3 linked regions of the Elephas maximus indicus genome follow. The protein of the gene in region 1 purifies or fractionates together with the protein of each later gene. This does not show direct contact. Links are inferred from orthologs where the notes say so. Each region holds a gene or a part of one and is shown on either strand. Other genes may lie near its edges.

Region 1 (7,334 bases):
TTCACAGGGGAGAGGTGCCCGTCCCTGGGCAACTGTGGGTGCAGCTCTGCTCCGTCTCTGCTCACCCTTCTCGAGGACACTGGAGCCCCCATGGCGGGCAGGGCCTGCGCCCCCTCGCAGCCCCCCGCTCCTCCGGGGCGCCCCCACCCTGCGGGGGACACGTGCCAAGGCCGCCACCTCGGCCCCCTCCCGAGCCTGGGCTGGGCCCCGGACTCCCGGCAGCCTGTCGCTCCGCGCTCGGTCCCCGCTCGGTCCCCGCTCACCTGGCTCGCCTTGTAGAACTGCTTCTTCAGCCCCGCTACCGACATGCTGCCTCCCGCCGTCGGGCCTCCCGCCCGGACAGAGCGACCTGGACGGACCGACCGCCTAATCGACAAGTTCCCGGGCGCCACCGACCCCCGCGCGCCTCAGCGGCCCCTCCGGCGCCGCCTCAGCCGCTTTCTCTCCAGCTCCGCGCCTGCCGCTGCGCCGCCTCAGCCCTCGCGCGCCCGCGCGGCCAGGATATTACATGGCAACCGCACACTTCCGGCGCCGGCCCCCGCTCCCCCCGGCCTCTTCTGCGCACGCTCGCCCCCTGTCGGCCGGGGAGCGCACGCGCGTTTGGGCAGCCTTGGGAAGAGGCCGCCCACACCAGCGAGTGGCCCAGTGCGAGCCTAGAGGGGACGTCGCAGCTGCAGCTTCCCCTGCAGTCCCGGAGGTGTCCCTCAATTCCTAGGATAGGCACTGAAACCTTGGAAGTGGGGAGAGGGGGTGTTTGAGAAGTTAATCCCTGGTGGTGTAACGGTCAAAGTCTAGGCTGTTAACTGGAAAGGTTGGCAGTTTGAACCCACCCAGCAGCTCCGCGGAAGAAAGGCCTGGCGATTTTCTTCCTAAAGATTACAGCCTAGAAAACCCTGTGGGGTAGTTCTACTCTGTCACATGCCGTCACTAGGAGTTGAAATTGACCATAGCGTGCAACAACAACCTCGGCTATTCCCAATTCCTCTGTGTGTTTAGCCCCTCCCCCCACCCTGCTCTGTGTTCATCCATTCATTTGCCTAAGTCAGACATCTGTGTTTAGCGTCTACCTCCTTTCCACCATCCCCACTGCCCTTCTTGCCCTGGCCCAGACCATTCCACCAGCCTCCTTGCTGGTGTCCCCACCTTAAAATCATTCCCCACAAGGCAGCCATAAAGATGCTTCTATAACACAATTTAGATCGCATCATTCCCCCGTTTAAAATCCACCTACTGCCCTCAAGATATATTCCAAACTTCTTACTCCATCTGCAAAACTTGAATAATCTGGCCTCACCAACCTTTCTGACCTCAACTCTCTTCCTGTTCCATAATCAATGATCCCAGATGCCTATGGGCCTTTGCTAAGATTGTTTTTCTTTTGCATATTCTTCACCAGTCTTTCCCCCGTCCTTTGTGCATAAAAGGAAACCTTGGTGGTGTAGTGGTAAGTGTGACGGTTGCTAACCAGGAGGTCAGCAGTTCAAATCCATCAGGGACTCCCTGGAAACTTTATGGGGCAGTTCTACCCTGTCCTATAGGGTTACTATGATTGAAAGTGACTCAATGGTAGCGGATTTTTGTGCATAAAAGAGGACGCAGCTTGGCATGGCACCTCCTCCAGGACCCCTTCCCAGATCTGACACATGTTTGTTGATATTGTTTTTATCAATTGTTGTTGGTAAAATTTTTGTTGAATGAATTGGACATGAATAATGAATGGGAACGACCAAATGAATCAGAAAGAGACCCAAGAAAGTGATTAGAGCTAAAGGGCTTGTGATTTCTATGCTTAAATCTCTGAAAGGTGTGAGTGCTTTCCTGAAGGAAGAAGATTGCTAGGCATTTCCAAATACCTCAATTGAAGACATGTTATAATGCGGTAAATACAGGGTAGCTTTGCTAACTGCCTTATGTTTATACCCTTATGTTATGGACTGTATTGTGTCCCAAAAAAATGTGTGTCAACTTGACTAGGCCATGATTCCCAGTATTGTGTGACTGTCCACCATTTCGTGATTTGATGTTATTATCCTATGTGCTGTAAATCGTAACCTCTATAATGTTAATGAGGCAGGATTAGAGGTAATTCTGTTAATGAGGCAGTAATCAATCTATAGGATTAGGTTGTATTTTGAGTCAATCCCTTTTGAGCTATAAAAGAGAGAATGGAGCAGAGAGGGGAGGGACCTCCTACCACCAATCAACAGGAGGGGGACATGTCCTTTTGGGCCCGGCTCTCTGCAATGAGAAGCTCCTAAAACAGGGGAAGATTGATTACAAAGACTTTCCCCCAGAGTCAACAGAGAAAGAAAACCTTCCCCTGGAGCTGGCACCCTGAATTCAGACTTGAGAGAATAAATTTCTCTTTGTTAAAGCCATCTGCTTGTGGTATTTTTGTTATAGCAGCACTAGATAACTAAGACAATTTACCACCGTGATTCTCAACCAGACGTGATTCGCTACCCTCCCAGGAGACGCTTGGCAGTGTCTAGAGACATTTTTGGTAGTTACAACTCGGGAGGGGGGGTGTGCTATTGGCATTTAGTGGGTAGAACCCAGGGATGCTGCTCAACATCCTGCAATCCATAGGCCCCCTCCCCAAGCATGATCTGCCCCCCAATGTAAACAGTCCTGAGGTGGAGAAACCCGGCACTACCATGACATGTATCATCAAATGGCGGAAGAGCCTGCTGATGGGCCTATCTCCTGGAGGCATGGGACAAAGGTTTTATTCAGCATTGTAGTAGCACCTTGCCTGATGACAATCAATATTTGTTGAATAAATTAATGAATTTTTTTCCAGCATCTGGAGGGGACCTGACACACAGAGAGTACACAATGAGAGTTTATCGAAAGGATTAGAGATGAATTGGAAAGAATAGCAAGAATGTGATTAGGGACAAAGTACTTGGAACTTCTATGCCGAAATCTCCTAGATTTAGGTGATTTTCTGAATGCGGAAGGTTGTTAGAAGTTTCCAAATGGCTCAATAGAGATGCTGGACTAGATTAGTCAGAAGGTTGCTTCAGAATCTCCAGGAGTTTTTTCAGTACTGGCTTCACTCCCAAGATCCTTATGCACTAGGTGGTGCTGTTATGAATAGTTTGAGAAACCTCCCATGTGATTCTGACATACACCCTCAGCTGTGACCCACTGGTCTAAATCATCACAGAATGCCAGAATGTTAGAGACGGGACGGAAAACATCCTCATGATCCAGATGGAGAAACCTGAGTCATGTGACATGACCTGACTGAAATGATATTCCCCAATTTCCTATTTCTCAATGCTCCTCTCTCAACAAGTTCTACCGATTTAATTATCCAATCTACTGCAATAAACTTCCAAACTCAGGCTAAATTTCCCATCTTTCCTCACCCCTGTTTCTCTCAAACATTAAATGAGTGCTGAAGCAAACCTATTTCTAAGAATTGCAGGTTGACACTGAGGATCTCTACTGAGCGTCTCCTCTGTGTGAGGCTTTTAACCTGCGTGATCTCCACAGGTCAATCAAATGATATTTATTCAATCAGATATTTATTGAGCACCTACTATGTATGTAGAAGTCCTGGGGTAGCGGTGGTTAAGCTCTTAGGCTGCTAACTGAAAGGTGGGAGAAATATTTGGCAGTCTGCTTCTGTAAAGATTTATAGCCTTGGAAATCCTAAATTGGAAAATTAAATAAAAATTTTTTTTTTTTAGTAGACACTTAGAATCTCTAAGTGCTTAAAAAAAAAAAAAAGTGTTGTAGATGCCTGATCTGGTTGGGGGTGGAGAGGGAAAGTCTTCTCTGAGGTGTTACCTGAGATCTGAAGGTTAGGTACAAATTAGAAAGAGCTGCGGAAAGAGGGTTTTAGGCAGAGAAAACAGCATGTCCCGAGAATTTAACCCGAAACTTGCATTTCATTCGCTCCGAATATATTTACTACATGTCAAAGCCCTCTGAAGCGCTGCCCAGTTTTTATTTTATTGCTCATTAACAAGTAATTTGTAATATTAATTGCTGTTGGGTATTAAACTCAAAACTTCAGATCGTCTTCTAAACCGCAGTTTTTCAAGCTGTCACCCGGCGTCTTACGTGACACGTTCGCGTCATGACGTTAAGCCTGGCCCTCCCTCCCCCCTGCCGACTTATCCCACGCACTTCAGCCAATCACAGTGCTTATCTCTAAGCTTGACACCTTCCTTCGCCAATCGCAGGGCATGTTCTCTCAGCCAATGACAGGCTGCCGAGAGAAAGTTCCCCCGCCCGCGGGAATATCAATAGACGAGCCATGGGAGGAATGGAGGCAACGGCTCTCGCGAGGATGTTCCCGGCGCTCCCCTCTTCCCGAGACGGGCTATCACGTGACGCGCCCTCGCCCAATCGGCGCGCGTTCTGCGGGGGTCGCCGCGGTTCCCGCCAAATACGAGCGCGGCGGCCGCGGCAGCAGCGGCGCGGGCGGGAGGGCGAGCAGCAGCGGCCGCCTGAGGGGAGCCCGCGCCTCCGCCGCCTCCCCCGCCTGAGGAGGGATCGAGCCGCCGCCGGAGCGATGCTGGAGGAGCCGGAGTGCGGGGCGCCGGGCGCCAGGGGAGCCGCCGCAGGTGGTCGGACCGGGTCCGGGTCCGGGTCCGGGCCCGGGGGAAGGGGGGGGCGCGGCGCGCGGCCTGTGAGGGCCGAGGCGGCGGCTGGGGGCTCCGGGCCTCCGGGCTCCGGGCCTGCTCCTCCGCGCCGGGCGCTCAGCCCGTGGGGCCGGCCGTTATAATCCCGACCAAGGGCCTTGTGACCCGCAGGGCGCCCTGCTTGACGTTATTGTTGCGGCCGCGACCATGTTTTTCCGGCGCTTTTGCGTCAGTTCGTCTTTCCAGGGCTCTGGGGGGGTGACCGGTCCAAGTGGGGAAACTGAGGCCCAGGGAGGCAAAAAGGCCGGCTTTTGGAAGTTACCGAGTGCTTATGGGGCCCCTGAGCCTTGCAGCGACCTTCTGGTCGGGTGGGGAAACTGAGGCCCGAGACCACACGTCTGCGGGTCAGGGCAAGTCCAGGTAAGAGGGCAGGGTGGTGGGGAGTGTCAGAGAGCTGAGATCCCCGCGGTGCTGATCTTGCCTGCTATGCAAAATGATGAGCTGCCTTCTCCCCCCACCCCGTATTTGTCGAAGGGTCTTTCTGTCTGGCACACAGCGGGCCCCCCAAAACGTGGGGTGAACCACGGAAGACCAGACTGCCCGCCTCTCCCACCGCTCAACTCCCCATTGGGTCCCAGCACCTGGCACAATGCTTGGCACATAGTAGGCGCCCGATAAATTTGTGTTGGTTGAATGAATTAAGGGATGGGAGGGACGCCAACTAGTCTAGTCCAGGGCTTCTCAACCTCGGCACTGCTGATATGAGGGCCGGATCATTCTCTGGGGTGGGGATGCGCTGTGCACTGTGGGGTGTTGAGCAGCATTCCTGGCCTTCACCCACTCCATGATATAGCAGCTCCCCGTTGTGACGACCACACGTCCCCGGGCATTGCCAAGAGTCCTCTGAGGGCAGAATCACCCTGGGTGAGAACCCCTGAACTAGATGTTAGTGACAAAAAGTGCTTGGTTAATATTGGTGAAATTTAACTGTATATATAGCACAGGGTTTCTCCACCTGGACCCTGACATTTGAACAGCATCCCCAGCCTCCACCAATTCAATACCAGTAGCACCCCCTTAAGTTGTGACAACCACAAGTGTCTCCAGACAACATCATCAGTGTCTCCTGGGGCACAGAATCACCCCTCCCTTCCCCTATTTCCTTAGACCAGGCCCATATTTATATTTTGGGTCAGATAACTTTTTGTCGTAGGGGGCTGTCCTGTGCATTCTAGGGTTTTGAGTAGCATCCCTGGCCTGCACCCACTCAGTGCCAGTAGCATCCCCCCCAAGTTGCGACAACCACAAATGCCTCCAGATGTTGTCAAGTGTACCCTGGACTGCATTATTCCCACCCACCCACCCCCGTTCTAGAAGTTTCCAGACTCTGGGGAGTTCACAGAGATGTAAAATTAATATAAAGTAGTTATGGAGCTGTGGTCATTTTATTTCACCAATTGAGGGTGTTAAAAAAGAAAAAATACCACCACCTTCTGTGACCATAGCATCAGAAAAGGATGCTTTAACACCAAATAAAATTAGGAAGGATGTAATCTCAGAATAAAGAACAGCTGACAGCTTTATACACCAGTGTATGTTGACTGTGTGTGTGCCTTGGAGCTCCCTGGATCCCTGGATGGGTCCCTCTTGTTGTCAACCTCAGGTTGCTTTTGGGCCCAGGTCTCTCTGCTCCGTTTGCATCAAAGCTGGTGACTCAGGGCCATGCAAATAAATCCTGTGGTTGTCCTGAAAATAAATTTAAGTGGCTAAAGATTGCGTGTCCTTCACTTGAGAGGGGAAAAAAAAGTCCATGTTTTTTTTGTAACTGAGAACATGAAGATGGTAATGCCTTCATTCCCTTGAAATGGGCAGATAGGAAGTGTGAACCTTCTGGTACCTTCTCTTACTCTCCACGCTTTGCAGGGGCAGGGGGAAGGAGTTTCATCTGTGGACAGCTGAGTTTTTTTAGAAAGCCCCAGTAGTCTCCCTTTAAAAAATATTCACTATTATGTATCTTTTACAAAATGTATGTAGATTGGCCAAAATAACTAGATTTTTCCTAGCCAGGTCTTCTACCAGGTGTGAGCTTCTAAACTTACTCTAACTATTTAAAGTTACTTACCCAAAAGCTTGGTTCTATTCATGGTCATTTCTGCATCAGTTTTGATATTATTAGTTGCTTTTCTTGAGAACTTTTTTGATACAGGAAATTGTTCTTTCAAATTATTTCTTGGCAACATTTTAGCTTCTACCTCATACGCTCAAAGTGCTCTAAACTAAAAAGAAAGTGAACCCAATCTAATTTTACGGGTTTGTAGGGAGTGAGAGGAGGATGTTTTAGGGTCGTTTGTTTTCGGTTGCAGTTGAGTAGATTCTGACTGATGGCGACATCACGTTAACAGTAAAATTGTTAATACAGTATTTTATCTCCACTTTCACCCACTCCACTTTTCTCTATGCCTGTTACTCTATTCGTTGACTTCCTACTATGCCAGTCCCTGAGCCAGGTGCTATAGGTACAGTGTGGATCAAGCCTTCTCAATGTCATGGCTATGACATTCTTGTGGTGGGAGACATCATGAACGCAAACGGTTCAGTACCGCAGGAAGACAGAGGAAGATATGATAGTGTCTAGGGCAGGGTTTCTCCACCTTGACGCTGCCAATTTTCGGCGGGATCGTTCTCTTGGGTGGGGCCGTCCTGTGTACTGTAGGTATTGAGCAGCATCCCTGG
Region 2 (7,899 bases), about 180 Mb from region 1:
AACGCAAGGGAATTCAGAACAGAGGTTACAAAGAATTGGGAAAGAAGGTTGATGCCAACTGAGGAGTAACAAAGAGGGGACATCTATGATACTAATAGGTCAGGCAGTTCAAAATATCAAGTTGGTGACTCTGGTTTCCCCTTTCTTATCTTCCATCTGCTCATCTTCCAGTTCGAGACTTTTCTATCCAAAGCCTTATCCCTTACCTGAATCAATACTGAGTACATCATCATCTTCATCAGGAATCTCGATTATTTCTGTAGGCCGAGAAGCTTCATCCTCAGAGCTACTTTCCCGGTATTGTAGTCCCAGCTTGGAGTAGAAGTCCTTCACCAAAGACTCACAATTAGTCACTGCCCTAATTGGAACACATGTGGAAAAGAAGGTCAAAACCAGCAGATGAAGTAGGTGTCAAAAAAAAAAAAAACCAAAACCAAACCCACTGCTGTTCAGTCGATTCCGACTCATAGCGATCCTATAGGACAGAATAGAACTACCCCATAAAGTTTCCAAAGAGCGGCTGGCAGATTCGAACTGCCGACCTTTTGGTTAGCAACCATAGCACTTAACTACTACGCCACCAGAGTTTCCGAAGTAGGTGAAGGAACCATTAAAATTTATATATAAGTGTAGACTGTCCTCAATTTAAACCATACGCTATATAATTGTAAATTCTGCTGTTTAGAATTTAACATGCTTTTCCCATAGAAAAATGTTTTAAATGGTGGTCTGGTTTCCAGACTAGTTCCTCAAATATCCAAAATAAGCCCAGAGCATAGTCCTTTCAACCGTACCTCATTAATTAGCTTATTGTTATTTGAAAATGTGTTTTAGGTAACAACTAGGGCACCATAAACAAATCTTCTGGGGGTTTAGGAGCAGATATAGGGTTTTTCAAGTTTATTAATGCTCTACAACTACATAAGACAGCAAGTAACTCTTTACGATTTTGATTCCCTAAATGATTTTATTAGGGAAACAAAGTAGGATTATGAAGTAGAATGGGGAAAGAGAAAAGGGACTCAAGACATGGACTCCCCTACTGCTGATCACATGTGAAGCTCTGATAAATGGGTAGTCTATGTATGGTGGTTGTGAAGTCTGATTCTGAACCATAAACTATGAGGAAGAATAGGGTCCTACACATTTGTACTTTATAAAGTACAAAGTGCTTTGCACGATGTCGTGACCAATTATACATTAAAAATGCCTGCAATGAAGAGATTTCCTTTTAGTTTCTGTATAGTCCTCACCTGGATGCATCATCAAAGAGCTGATCAACATGGGCCACCTCAGATTCCTTCTGTATTACCCAGGTCTCCAATTCTGCTAGCTGCTTCTTGCGCTGCTGTACGCAGTCCATCTTTTCCAGTTCTTCATCAATGAACTGCCGAAGTTCCTCCATAGAGATGCCTAGCTCCTCAACCACAGCCTGCTGCAGCTCTGCAATCTCTTCAGACTCCACTGCAGCAGTTGCTGCCTCCAAACCGACGCACTCAGGAATGGAGGACATGCTGATGTCCTCTGAATAGAACAGAATTACCCTTGGGGTCATTGTAACTACAATCAGTAGGAAATTTCACTCCCCTAATAAAACTCATTCCTACTCTGTTACCTGCTATTTAAATTTGATTCTATGTTCTCTTTCCCCATTCTCCAGAATTTGATGCTGAGATTTCGTAGAGTTCTCAGCCTATGCTATACACTAACAGGCCTGAATAAGATTTCAGATTGAAAAGCGTGGAAAACACAGTCCCATAGGCTACATAGGCATCTTACCTTACAATTCACATATGACATAATAATGCTTATTTTCTAGCGTCTGTAAAAAATTCTATTCTGTACGTGCATTTCACGTCAGTGTGTTACCAGAAGTTAGGAACTGGTTACATTTATGTTGTTCTTTTTTACAAGGCTTCTAACATAATTTTGCAAGCTGGTTGTTATAGGATACTTGAAACAGAACTTGAAAATTCAGTTGGGGGACATTCCAGGTGGGGGAAAACTATGAGAGTATTTCAAGAACTTTGGATGTTTTGGGTAAAACACAGGTAGTGGTGAGATAAACTGAAAAGCTAAATTGGAGCCAAATTAGAATGCCTTGCAAGGCTTAAGAAGTTTTACCTGATTCTTATGCAGTGGAGAACCAATGAAAATGTTTTAGCAAACTGAAGAGAATCAATCTACATAGGAAAATAATTTCTGTGAGCCAATTGGTTTCTTAATCGACTAATGAGATAGATCTATGCCTACATCTTATCCCTAATTTGAACAAATATCCCCACCTGGGGAGGGGGCTTTGCTCTGTAACGCACTTTGCGGTGTTTTCTCTTTTAACTACTTGTCTCCCTTATATTACTTCGCTTCGGTGTGAAAATTTACTTTCTAAATGTGATCGCTGTCTGTAACGCCACAAAAAAAGTCTTAAGCACACAAAAGCTTGCAGCAAAAAGAGGTACCCCTAAAGTAAAAGGAAGTAAATTAATTTGGGAATAAAATGTGGCTATCTTAAGTTCACAATCCAAAAAACTCACATTGGCGTTAAACTGTTTTTCCGATCAAACGGTAGAAACAAGACTGATGTCAGATAAGCCGTGCGACCTCAACGCCAGTTCCCAGTGCCTCCATTTTTTTACCACACCCGTCCGACCCTCCCTCCCCCAAGCTACCCAATTTAGAGGGGGCGTCCCATCCACCCATAGGCCCATCTCGACCCCGCCCCCGGTCGCCTCTCGGGGAAAACTTCCTTCCTACTTTCGCCCAACCTCCTTCTACAAACAAAACATTCCAGACAAGCCTTTGGTCCCTAGATACCTCAACTAACAGTATTCCCTACCTCCCCGCTCCCAGCTGCAAAAGCTCTTTTTCACCAACCAGACCCCAGACTCACCACTCTCAGGTCGGCCTGGACGGGAAGAGGAAAGAACGAAAACGAAGGGAATGAAGAACAGGGGAGGGGGAGGAAACGTGAGGGAGGAAAGGGGACGCCCGGAAGCAAACCTTAGGCGCCGTTCCGGTCACCGCGACGGTAGCCTAATGGGGTCAAATTCAAAGCCGCGGGGCGCCCCTAAGAGGCTGAGACTGACTTAGGCGACTACGCATGCGTCAAGGCAGAGCCTTTCGGAGCACACGTGAGAATCCGTGGCCGGATAAAGTAGGCGTGGCCAGGAGTGTATTAAAGAAGCCCCGCCTCTTCTACCACCCTTCACTCCCACCACCCTCCACTGGTGCCAGTGATTCTACGGTTATTGTGTAAAGACTCAGTAGACAAACAATCTTAGGTTTCGGTATTATTTGTTACTTTTACTTGATTTTATTACGTAAATCATACAAATCAAAGGATATCCAGATGTAATAAGAAAAACGTGATAATCATTTCCCCTCCCCTTATTTACTACCTCTGCTCCTTTGATATAAGACAACTTTTTTCTCTAGGCTTATACATGAACTTTCATGCATATGGATTTTTTGTTTTCATTTAATGTGTGGCTATTGCTTGAAGTCAATGAAAGAGATAAAACTTGTCTTTTTGACAACTGCATAATACCCATTTCCATCAAACGGACTCATAGCAACCCCATAGGGTTTCCAAGGCTGTCTACGCGGAAGCCAACTGCCACTTCTTTCTCTCACAGAACCGCTGGTGGCTTCAAACGGCGGAGCTGTCGCTTAGTCGATTGCCTTAACCTGTACGCCACCAGAGCTTCTATTTCTGTGGGATAAATTCCCCAAAACCGTTATCTCTGAGTGAAAAGATTTGCACATTTTTCATTTTAAAGGAATCTTTTGTCAAATTACTTTTCAAAAGGTTGTAACAATTTATACTTCTACTAACAAATTTTTGAAAGTACCTGTTTCCCCCCACTCTCATTAGAACTGAATGTTAACTCTCTACTTAATTTTTTTTAATTGTGCTTTACAAATCAAGTGAGTCTCTCATACAAAAACATACACACGTTGCTGTGTACTCCTAGCTGTTCTCCCGCTAATGAGACAGTGCACTCTTCCTCTCCACCCTGTATTCCCAGTGTCCATTCAACCAGCTCCTGTGCCCCTCTGCCTTCTCACCTCCCCTCCAGACAAGAGCTGCCCACTTAGCCTCATGTGTCTACTTGAGCCAAGAAGCTCACTCCTCACCAGTATCATTTTCTGGCTTACAGTCCAGTCCAATCCCAGTCTGAAGCGTTGGCTTCAGGAATGGTTCCAGTCTTGGGCTAACAAAAGGTCTGGGGACCATGGCCTCTGGGGTCCCTCTAGTCTCAGTCAGACCGTTAACTCAGGTCTTTTTATGAGAAATTGAAGTCTGTATCCCACTTTTCTTCTGCTCCAGCATGGATTCTCTGTTGTGTTCCCTGTCAGGGCAGTTATCTGTCATAGCTGGGCACCATCTAGTTCTTCTGATCTCAGGCTGATGGAGTCTCTGGTTTATGTGGCCCTTTTTATCTCTTGGGTTCTTATTTACCTTGCATCTTTGGTATTCTTTATTCTCCTTTGCTCCAGGTGGGTTGAGACCCATTGATGCATCTTACATGGCTGCTTGCCAGCATTTAAGACCCCAGACGCCACTTACCAAAGTGGGATGCAGAGTGTTTTCTTAATACATTTTGTTCTGCCACCTGACCTAGATGTCCTCTGAAACCATGGTTCCCAGATCCCTGTCCCTGCTACTCTGGCCTTTGAAGTGTTCTGTTGTATTCAGGAAACTTCTTTGCTTTCGGTTTAGTTCAGTTGTGCTGACCTCTCCTGTGTGTTGTCTTTTCCTTCACCTAAAATAGGTCTTGTCTGCTATCTAATTTGTCTACTTAATTTTTAAGAACTTGATGTGTGTAAAATAATATTTGTATCAGGATAGGCTAGGTTATATTGTGGAACTCAGCTCATGGTAGCCACTCAGGGACCCAGGCTGATGTGTAGCTAAGCCAAAGAGAGAGAGTTACCAACGGCCTCACATGGCAATTAAAGTAACTTAGATCACTTTCATTTACAACTCATTGGCTCCAACTAGTCATAAGGCCCCACCCAGTCACAAGAGACAATGAATGCAATGCCATTCCTCTTCAAGTTGCCATTCCTGGTATAGTAGATCATATGATTGTCTGATTCAAAATGGCCAATACCAGTTCATTTCAGCTCACTAATGCCTAGGATATCGATGTTTATGTGTTCCATTTCATTTTTGATGTTTTCCAGTTTTCCTAGATTCATAATTCGTACATTCCATCTTCAAATTATTAATAGATGTTTGCAGCTGTTCTTCTCATTTTGAGTCATGCCACATTAGCAAATGAAGGTCCCAAAAGCTTGACTCCATCTACATCATCAGGATCCACTCTACTTTGAGGATGCAGCTCTTCCCAAATTGTCTTTTGAGTGCTTTCCAACCTGGAGGGTTCGTCTTCCAGCACTATATCAGACAATATTCTGCTGCTATTCATGAGGTTTTCATTGGCTAATTGTTTTCAGAGGTAGACCACTGGGTCCTTTTTCCTAGTCTGTCCTAGTCTGGAAGTTCAGCTGAATCCTGTCCACCATGGGTGACCCTGCTGGTATTTGAATACTGGTGGCATAGCTTCCAGCATCACAGCAACATGCAAGCCCCCACAGGACGACAAACTGGGAATTCCAGAACACTTAGTTTTGCTTATAAGGAACCTGTGGACAGATCAAGAGGCAGTCGTTCGAACAGAACACGGTGATACTGTGTGGTTTAAAGTCAGGAAAGTTGTGCGTCAGGGTCGTATCTTTTCACCATACCTATTCAATCTGTATGCTGAGCAAATAATCTGGAGAAAGATGCATTAACAACCTGTGTTATGCAGATGACACAACCTTGCTTGCTAAAAGTGAAGAGGACTTGAAGCACTTACTGATGAAGATGGAAGACCCCAGCCTTCAGCATGGATTATGCCTCAACATTAAGAAAACAAAACCACCTACAACTTGACCAATAAGCAACATCATGATAAACAAAGAAAATGCTGAAGTTGTCAAGGACTTCATTTTACTTGGATCCACAATCAACATTCAACATTCATGGAATCACAATCAACATTCATGGAAGCAGCAGTCAAGAAATCAAAAGACGCATTATTGCACTGGAAAAATCTGCTGCAAAAGACCTCTTTAGAGTGTTGAAAAGCAAAGATGTCACACTGAAGACTAAGGTGCGCCTGAGTTAAGCCATGGTGTTTTCAATTGCCCCAAATGCATGCGAAAGCTGAACAATGAATAAGGAAGAGCAAAGAAGAACTGACGCCTTTGAATTGTGGTGTTGGTGAAGAATGCTGAATATACCATGGCCTGGGAAAAGAATGACCAAATCTATCTCGGAAGAAGTACAACCAGAATTCTCCTTAGAAGCAAGGATGGCGAGGCTACATCTCATGTACTTTGGACATGTTACCAGGAGGGATAAGTCCCTGGAGAAGGACATCATGCTTGGTAAAGTAGGGGGCCAGGGAAAAACAGAAAGACCCTCAACAAGGTGGACTGACACAGCAGCTGCAACAATGGGCTCAAGCATAACAATGATTGTGAAGATGGCGCAGGTCCAGGCAGTGTTTTGTTCTGTGGGTCGCTACAGGTCGGAAGTGACTCAACAGTACCTAAGAACAACAACAACCACAAGAGTGCCAGGAAGGGCAGGCCTACGTAATTGCTGGAATGTGAGAGGACTGGGTATAGCTGATAAAGTGTGTTACAATGTAGAACATTTTCTTTATAAATTGTTATGCCAATTGAGCTAGATGTCCCCTGAGATCATGGTCTCTAGCCCTCAGCCCAGTAATTTGCTCCCTCTGGGAGTTTGGATGTGTCTGTGAAGCTCCTATGACCTCACCTTGATCAAGTTGTGCTGACTTTCCCAGTATTGTGTACTGTCTTACTCTTCGCCAAAGTTATCACTTACCTGTTGTCTAGTTAGTGTTTTTCCCTTCCCACCCCTACCCTCCCTCGTAACCATCAAAGATTGTTTCTTTCTATGTGTAAACCTTTTCATAGATTTTTATAGTAGTGGTCTCATACAGTATTTGTCCTTTTGTGATTGACTTATTTCGCTCAGCATATGCCTTCCAGATTCCTCCGTGTTGTGAGATGTTTCAGAATCATCATTGTTCTTTATTGTTGCATAGTATTCCATTGTGTGTATGTACCATAGTTTGTTTATCCATTCATCTGTTGATGAACACTTAGGTTGTTTCCATCTTTTTGCTATTGTAAATAATGCTGCAGTGAATATGGGTGTGCACATGTCTCTTCATTTGATGGTTCTTATTTCTCTAGGGTATATTCCTAAAAGTGGGATTGCTGGATTGTATAGTATTTCTATGTCTAGTTTTTTAAGGAAGTGCAATATTATTTTCCAAAATGGTAGTACCATTTGGCATTCCCACCAGAAGTGCATAAGAGTTCCAATCTCCCCACAGCCTCTCCAACATTAGTTATTTTCTGGTTTGTGCCAGTAGTGTCCGGGTGAGATGGTATCTTGTTCTAGTTTTGATTTGCATAAGGTCTGAGAATTTATGTATCGTTTTTCCAGGTGATGCGTATGCTACTGGTCCTGGGACTAGAGTTTAAGAATCATTGTCTTAAATTGCCCCTCACCCCTTACAGAATTAACTCCTGCCCTGTGCTTCTATCGCCTTGGTTTATTCCGCGTGTGAGTTATCTGTGTACATCTTTGCTTCCTCTGCTGGCTTGTGATCAACTAAAAGCTGAGATACTGTCTTAATCATCTTTGTCCCCCCAGCACCTGATATACTATCCCCACACATGTGGTGCTCTGTAATGTATGATGAGAGAAGGGAAGTCTTTGCTTTGGTCTGGTTGAAATTTATCTCCATTAGTTAGATTCTTTCAGTTTTCCAGAGTGTATTGTGCAGGGTGAGGGGAGGGAATGGA
Region 3 (7,030 bases), about 25 Mb from region 1:
GCAGGTACTGAAATTCCAGACCCTCCCAGATGGAAATCTGATATTCAGCATAAAGCACAGGTTAGACACAAGGAGCTATTACTATCATTTAGGGGATGATGGGAACCTTCCTGAAATCCAAAATCCCAGATGCCAGCCAAGGGCCAACCTTGTAAGCAGGCGTTTCTAAAGATAGCAGTCTCAGGCCTGCTATGTTCTCTTTTTGCACATACACCATTGATATAAAATTGTAAAATATGAAAAACAATACTATATATTGCTTAAAGACACATGAATATGAAGATGTAAGAACATTCACACACACAAAAAAAAACACCAAATTCAGTAGTGCTGTTACATTTGAGAAAAAGAGAAAGGAATGGATATCAGGCAGGAGTATATACCAAAAAACCAAACCCATTGCTGTCGAGTTGATTCTGACTCATAGCGACCCTATAGGACAGAGCAGAAATGCCTCATAGGGTTTCCAAGGAGCAGCTGGTGGATTCAAACTGCTGACCAAATTTTGGTTAGCAGCCAAGCTCTTAACCACTGCAGCACCAGGGCTCTAATTCTTGGGCTGGATAGTGGGTAAAAGGGTGTTTTGTTATAGTATTTCTTAAACTTTTTGTGTCTGTGTGCATACAACTGAAATATTACATAAGAATATAATACAGGCCTTTTTTTTTTTTTTACTGAGTAGTGGTTAAGCATTTGGCTGCTAAACAAAAGGTCACCAGCTCGAACCCACCAGCCACTCCTCGGGAGAAAGATGTGGCAGGCTGCTTCCGTAAAGATTAAAGCCTAGGAAACCCTATGGGGCAGTTCTACTCTGTGCTATAGGGTCGCCATGAGTTAGAACTGACTCTACGGCAGCAGGTACGTACTACTAACAGCTCATGTTGATTGCTTTTCACATTCCAGGTGCTATGCTAAGCCCTTTAAGTGGTATTATTCTTTTTAAAAGATCTACTGAAGACTTTCCACATGCCAGGCCCTGTGCTAAGTTCTGGAAATATAACCTTGAGAAAGCCAGGTGAGATCCTTGCCCTCAAAACTCCCTCAAATAGCTTTAAACCCACTGAGATGACAAATAAGCACAATTTTAAAACCAACACAGTTGTAGGTTCTGATAAGTGCTACTAAGATAATAAAACAGGTTGATATGATTAAGGAAGTGCTACTGTCAATAGGGTGGTCTGGAAAGGTTCCTCGAAGAAAGACATTTGAGCTGAAACATAAATGATGGGAATGAGACAGTCACGCAATTATCTGGGGGCAGCACATTCCAGGCAGAGGAAACAGCAAGTGCAAAGCCCTGAGGCAGGAATAAGCTTGGTGAATTAAAAGAACAGCAATAAAGCCAGCATGGCTTGAGAATGGTGGCAAAAAGGGAAGTGGTAGATTAGGTCCCAGAGGTCAGCTAAGGCCACCATGCAGGGCCTCCTAAGGAACTTCGGCAACCTTCCTAAGCCATAGTGAAGACTTTAGGATTCATCCTAGGTATGATGAGCCTTTGAAGAGTTTAAGCAGGGGAATGACATGATCTGATTTATATTTGAAGATCACTCGGACGGCTGTATGGAGAACTCGTCACAGACAGGACCATTTTCTCTACTAGCACCACAGACAGAAAATGCTTGTGGCCGCTGAGCTTTTCAGGAGCTATGAAAACAATGGGGTGGGGATAAAGGGGGAAAAACTTCCACAGAGAAAAAACAAAACTGCAAAGTTGAAATCAATAAATGTTTAACTAAATGTTTATTTAGAAAACTTAACATCATAGCAACTTCATGCATTGATAATTTAGTATTTGCAAAAAATCAATCACACTTGGAAATCATTTGGAAATTAGATTCTTCTCAAGTCACAGAAATTCCCAAGTATGCCCAGCATTTGCCAGATCAAGCCAATTATAAATGTCAATTTTCTTGCAGGCAAGTAATATCAAAAGAAAAAAATAACTTCCCATTTTTTTTAATGGAAAAAAATTTTTTTTCTTAATGTATATACCAAAAAAAAAAAAAAATATATATGCCTCACACCATGAAGCCTTAAGATTCTGAGGAGAACCCAGAGGTGGCCAGGTAAGAGATGCTGGAGGCTTAGATCAGTGCTGTTAAGGTTTATAGAGTAGCAGAGGCTTACATCCCATCCTAGATGGCCCAGAATACCAAAGGAGTAAGTTTGAACACTGTCCAGGGGACCATTGGAAAGGCTTCTCTGAGGAAAGCGCATTTGAAGCAAGAAGCCTGAGTGAAAAGGCACTAGCTGGGCCAAGAGTTGGGAAAAGAGGTTCCAGGCAGGGGCTCTGAGCTATCAGTTTTTTAAGCAACAAAAAAGGGGTCTGTTTGGCTGGACTGAAGCTGGAGATGAGTAGGTAATAGGAAACAAAGCATGTAGGGTCTTGATAACAATGTTCTCAGTCCAGAACTGTAGAAAACCACTCCCGTTTCAAGCAGGGGCGTGACCTGATCCAACTGTTTTAGGTTTGCACTATCCAATAGTACAGGAGTCTTTTTCCACAGGTGGCAAATTCAACTGCAAACTGAACTTTCAATTTTATTTAATTTAAAAATTAAAACTCCGAAATACAATTCAGCTAATGGAAAACTTTTACGCATGTTTGGAACAACTTCGACACACGAATCTACTTCTCCAACTGTAAACTGTATGAAACCTAAAGGCAGAATAACTATTTCCGATGAAAATTTAGGGTCCCAGTTACAGATGTGCTGTACCTGTGAAACACACACAGGCTGTCAAAGCCTTAGTACTGAGTAAAAATACGTAAGTTATCTCCTTCGTATTTTTATAATCATATGTGGCAGTAATATTTTGGCTATATGGGATTAGACTTGACACGTTATTAAAATTAATTTCACTTTTTTTCTATTTTTTTAATGTGGATACTAGAAAATGTAAAATTAGGTATGTGGCTTGCGTTACTTTTCCACTGGACAATACTGGTCGCCGAGACAGAGTGGTTGCAGAAGTTCTTGGGTGCTCCAGGCAGGAGGCGTCGGTGGTCCAGACCACGGATGGAGGTGAAGTTTCTGCAAGTATTGTGGAGTCACGAGTCATGTCAGTGAATTTTCACAGCCCGTTTAATGGACGAGGAAATGGGAGTGGCAGAGCTCGGACTCGAACCCACGTCTATCAGACGCTTCGCGCTTGAGGGGTATTATCTACTTGAAACCTCCCAGCGGCCCTCGAGATGCCGACAGTGGGATTCGAACCAGGCCCCAGTCCTGAAGCCAGGCCAAGCGTAGCGCGTTACTGCCACTCCGTCTCCCCACGGCTGAGCCCAACGTTCACAACGTTCATAACGGACTCCCTGGCCGCCTGACCTGAGTAGCCAGGAACTCCTGAGTGACGCTCCCGGTAACGCTCACCCGCTGACAGACGCCGAGGCCGCAAACGCTCTTTTCTCTTCAGACTCGACGCAGTCGCGCAGGCGCCCGACTCCCCCCACCCATTCCGCGAATCCCAGTTGTGCTAGCTCTCCTCCAGCCCCCGCGGTCAACTCAGCCAATCGCCTATCACTAAACCTGCTTTATTCCCACCCACTCCCGCCCGCCAATCACCGCTGACGCAAGCACCGCCCTTCCCGCCCTCTTCAGCGTGCGCCGCGCGCCCCCGTTCGGCCGTTGGCGGCGCTGCCCCGTGGGATGCGTGCCCCGGAAGGGCGGGGCGAAGCGCGCGCCACGCTGGTGCGGGAACCCTTGGGATTGGCCAGGAGGAGGCCCTGCTCTTTCTCCGCCCACTCTCGCCCTCTGCATCCGAGTCGGAGACACTGGGGATTGGCTCCCAGGTGGGGATGGGGGCCCAAAGAAGCATGGAGACGTTCCCGTCCCTCTCGCGCTCACCGGGGAGGGAGCACCCCTGATTGGTCCGGGAGTCTCGGCGCGCGCCCGCCGGCGCTCCAGGATTGGCTGAAGACGGGCTCGCGCCGCCGGGGAGCGTTGGCGGTGATTGGCCGGGGGGTGGGGTGGCTATTTGAAGGCGGCGCGCGGACGAGGTGCGCATTTCAGTCCGCGTAGAGAGGAGTCGGGAGCGGCTCTTGGAACCCTGCCTCCTAACCCACCGGACGCAGGCCCTAGGTTGGCCCCGGCCCGGCCTCAGCCCTGGTACCAGCCCCGGCCCGGCGAGGCGATGGCCAAAGTATCGGTGCTGAACGTGGCGGTGCTGGAGAACCCGACCCCTTTCCACAGCCCCTTCCGGTTCGAGATCAGCTTCGAGTGCAATGAGGCCTTGGCGGACGGTGAGGCTGGGCCTGTGTGGAGACACCTCCCCCCCTCCCCCCACGGCCAACCCCGACTTACCCTCGAGACATTCCCACGGTCAACCCCGACCTCCTCGTGGAGACACCTCTCAGCCCCCATCAACCTCGACCTCCCCATGGAGACCACCCCAATGCCAACCCTAATCTCCCCGAGATCCTCCTGACACAACCAACCCTGACTTCCGGTGGCCAACTCGGACCTCCCTGTGAAAACACCCTCCCATCCCGTCAACCTCTACCTCCCCATGGAAACCCCCTAGTGTCAAACCTAATCTCCCCCTGAGGCCCCCCAGTGCCAACCCTAACCTCCCCCGTGACCCCCCCAGTGCCAATCCTGACCTGCCCCTGAGACTCCCCACACACAGCCAACCCTGACCACCCCGTGGAGACCCCTCCTTCCATGGCCAACCCCACTCTCCCACTTTCCTGTGGAAACATCATCCCTTTTTTTTTTTTTTTTTTTGGTAGAGCTCCTCCCAGCTACCCGTTTAAGTAGGGACCTTCTCAGCCTCCATTCTTCCCTATGGCAAGACGCATTCCAAGTGACCCTCCGTTTCTGGAAGGCCAGACCCCCCCTTCCAGCCACCCAATGGGATGAGGCTGCCACTCATCCCCACTCCCCTGTGGCCAGACACTCCCAACTCATTTTTATCCTGTAGAGACCTCAGCCACCTGTCATTTTTTCTGTGGAGACCTCTCCTCCAAACACCCCTTCTTTTTCCCTGTGGAGACCTCCCCCTAAAGTCACCTTCCTTTTTCCCTGTTAAGACTTTCCTGTCACATGATCTTACTCCATCTCCCCTAACAATCCCCTCCCCAACTTGCTTATATTTAAACATCTTTCCCACCTTGCCTCCCAACTTCTGCTTGCTCTCCACCCCAAAGCATACACTCTAGAACTTGGCTTTTCTCCTCCTCAGTCTGATCCCCTACACTTGAGCTCCATCTAGGGAGGGATGGCCTGGCTTCTCCCTCTAGACTTGGAGGGTAACTTGGTCCTCCCAAGTTCCTGTTTCTCCCTCCTCTCTGCTAATCAGCTTGGATAAACACCTGCCAATCTGAGGGGTGGTGTAGCCAGGCAAGTGTGAGCCAGTTCCCAGGGTTTGCCCACCAGGTTCCAGCTGACTTACTGCAGCAATTCTTCCAATGCGTTTGATGGTTTGACCTAGTCTGAGGAGTGGGTGGGACAGGCTGAGCTGAGACAGCATCTGGCTTCAAATAATCAGCTAGGAGGTCACAACCTTTTGTGCATCTTTTCCAAGGTGCTTTCATGAATGTACTTACAAGTCTGTGTGACATAAAGGAGGTAGACATGGCTCTCATCTCAGATGAGAAAGCAGGCACCACAAAGAGTAAAAGACCTTTCAAGAAGAGGTCTATAAAAATCTAAAACTAAATGGCTAAGGTCACCCAGGGAGCTTTGGCACAGCTGACAGGCAAGTCCTGCTTTCAGGAGGAAGTAATCAGCTAGACCACCTCTCCACTTGGCCATTAAAGGAGAAGGGGCAGCAACTGAGGTGAGGCTGGCGCGCTAACTAGCGCCTCTCAGTGGCAGATGTGTGGTTTGCTCACAGAGCCTGCTGCTTGGATTGCTTGCGGCTGATACAGTTTGAAGGATGTGTGGCCTACAGGTGAGCCAGTGGTCACTCTCCCCCTGTGTCTCACACTCTTTTTTTAAATTAAGGAGTCCATTTGTGACTAAGTATAGAGTAAGCCAAGTTAAATCCTTGCTAGAACAAGTCTGGGTGTAAATAAATAAATAAAGTGTAGAATGACACTGTGGAATAAGATTTAATTTTAAAGCCAGGAAGAGATGTAAGGAGCTAATAGGTTAAGGGATTCACAGTTCCCAGATGGCAGGAGATCAGGTTGCAATCAGCCTGTTTGTACTTCTTGAATTAAAAATGGTTGCATGGCCATTATTTAGTACTATTATTCCTGGAAGTCCGTGCCCGGTGACTTTAGTAATTTGTTTATAGTATTGGGACAGGAAAGGTTAAAGTTAGCCTGCAGTGTTTTCCTTTTTAATAGAGGGAAGTGGAGTGACTTCTCCAAGGTCACACAGCCAGTTTATAGAAATGTTGGGATGAAAACTTGTTGCTGAGGTCTGAGTCTGGTTTCATTGTCTTTGCTCTTATCCTAGTAGGCGAAAGAAAGAAAGCATTTCCTACTTTAGAGGCGGAGTTTAAATAGGAAACCAAAAAAACCCATTGCTGTGGAGTTGATTCCAACTCAAAGCTACCCTATAGGACAGAGTAAGACTGTCCCACAGAGTTTTCAAGGCTGTAAATCTTTAACCGAAGTAGACTGCCCCTTCTTCCTCCCGTGGAGCAAGCTGGTGGTTTCCAACCATAGACCTTTTGGTTAGCAGCTGAGCTCTTAGCTACTGTGCCACCAGGGCTGCTTATAAATAGGAGGGACCATACAATTTATTGCCAAATCAGGACATTCAAAAGAGAGTAAAAGGGGCGCTATTCTTAATTATGCCAGATAGTAGAGCTTTTGCTCAGAGAAACTCAAGTTGGGAATCAAACCCTGGCCTGGGAATCCAGACTCTATGGTTCTACCTCCTATGGCTGTTGGTGACTCTGACATGCCAGCTTGCTTTCTGCCTCTTCCTGGCCTTCTTCCCACAAAGCAGAATCCGTTTCCTGCCTTCCAAACAGATGGAGTGGGGCTGCCTTAAAAGTCTCTCTGGTCCTGGAGAAACCTCAGTCTTTTTACCTCTCTGTGCTGCCAACTGAAATCTGACAAGGCACCCAACCC

What was found.
Region 2: the proteins of CHAF1A (region 1) and SETDB1 purify together in Homo sapiens (affinity purification with western blotting; 3 studies listed by BioGRID and IntAct, with this or other methods). This does not show direct contact. The link is inferred for Elephas maximus indicus from reciprocal best matches to the Homo sapiens genes CHAF1A and SETDB1.
Region 3: the proteins of CHAF1A (region 1) and ASF1B purify together in Homo sapiens (co-immunoprecipitation; 7 studies listed by BioGRID and IntAct, counting the BioPlex papers as one, with this or other methods). This does not show direct contact. The link is inferred for Elephas maximus indicus from reciprocal best matches to the Homo sapiens genes CHAF1A and ASF1B.

The regions. Positions count from the first base shown.
Region 1 is NC_064821.1:7,418,566-7,425,899, forward strand, and holds the start of CHAF1A (chromatin assembly factor 1 subunit A), read left to right. Parts: upstream 1-4,295; 5' UTR 4,296-4,306; coding exon 4,307-4,583; intron 4,584-7,334. Other genes in the region: SH3GL1 (endophilin-A2), read right to left, coding at 264-308. UniProt on the Homo sapiens protein: Acts as a component of the histone chaperone complex chromatin assembly factor 1 (CAF-1), which assembles histone octamers onto DNA during replication and repair.
Region 2 is NC_064821.1:184,996,198-185,004,096, reverse strand, and holds the start of SETDB1 (histone-lysine N-methyltransferase SETDB1), read right to left. Parts: upstream 3,088-7,899; 5' UTR 3,001-3,087; intron 2,995-3,000; exon of another isoform or gene 2,891-2,994; intron 2,634-2,890; exon of another isoform or gene 2,535-2,633; intron 1,525-2,534; 5' UTR 1,514-1,524; coding exon 1,254-1,513; intron 359-1,253; coding exon 207-358; intron 1-206. UniProt on the Homo sapiens protein: Histone methyltransferase that specifically trimethylates 'Lys-9' of histone H3. H3 'Lys-9' trimethylation represents a specific tag for epigenetic transcriptional repression by recruiting HP1 (CBX1, CBX3 and/or CBX5) proteins to methylated histones.
Region 3 is NC_064821.1:32,773,287-32,780,316, reverse strand, and holds the start of ASF1B (histone chaperone ASF1B), read left to right. Parts: upstream 1-3,953; 5' UTR 3,954-4,134; coding exon 4,135-4,243; intron 4,244-7,030. UniProt on the Homo sapiens protein: Histone chaperone that facilitates histone deposition and histone exchange and removal during nucleosome assembly and disassembly. Cooperates with chromatin assembly factor 1 (CAF-1) to promote replication-dependent chromatin assembly.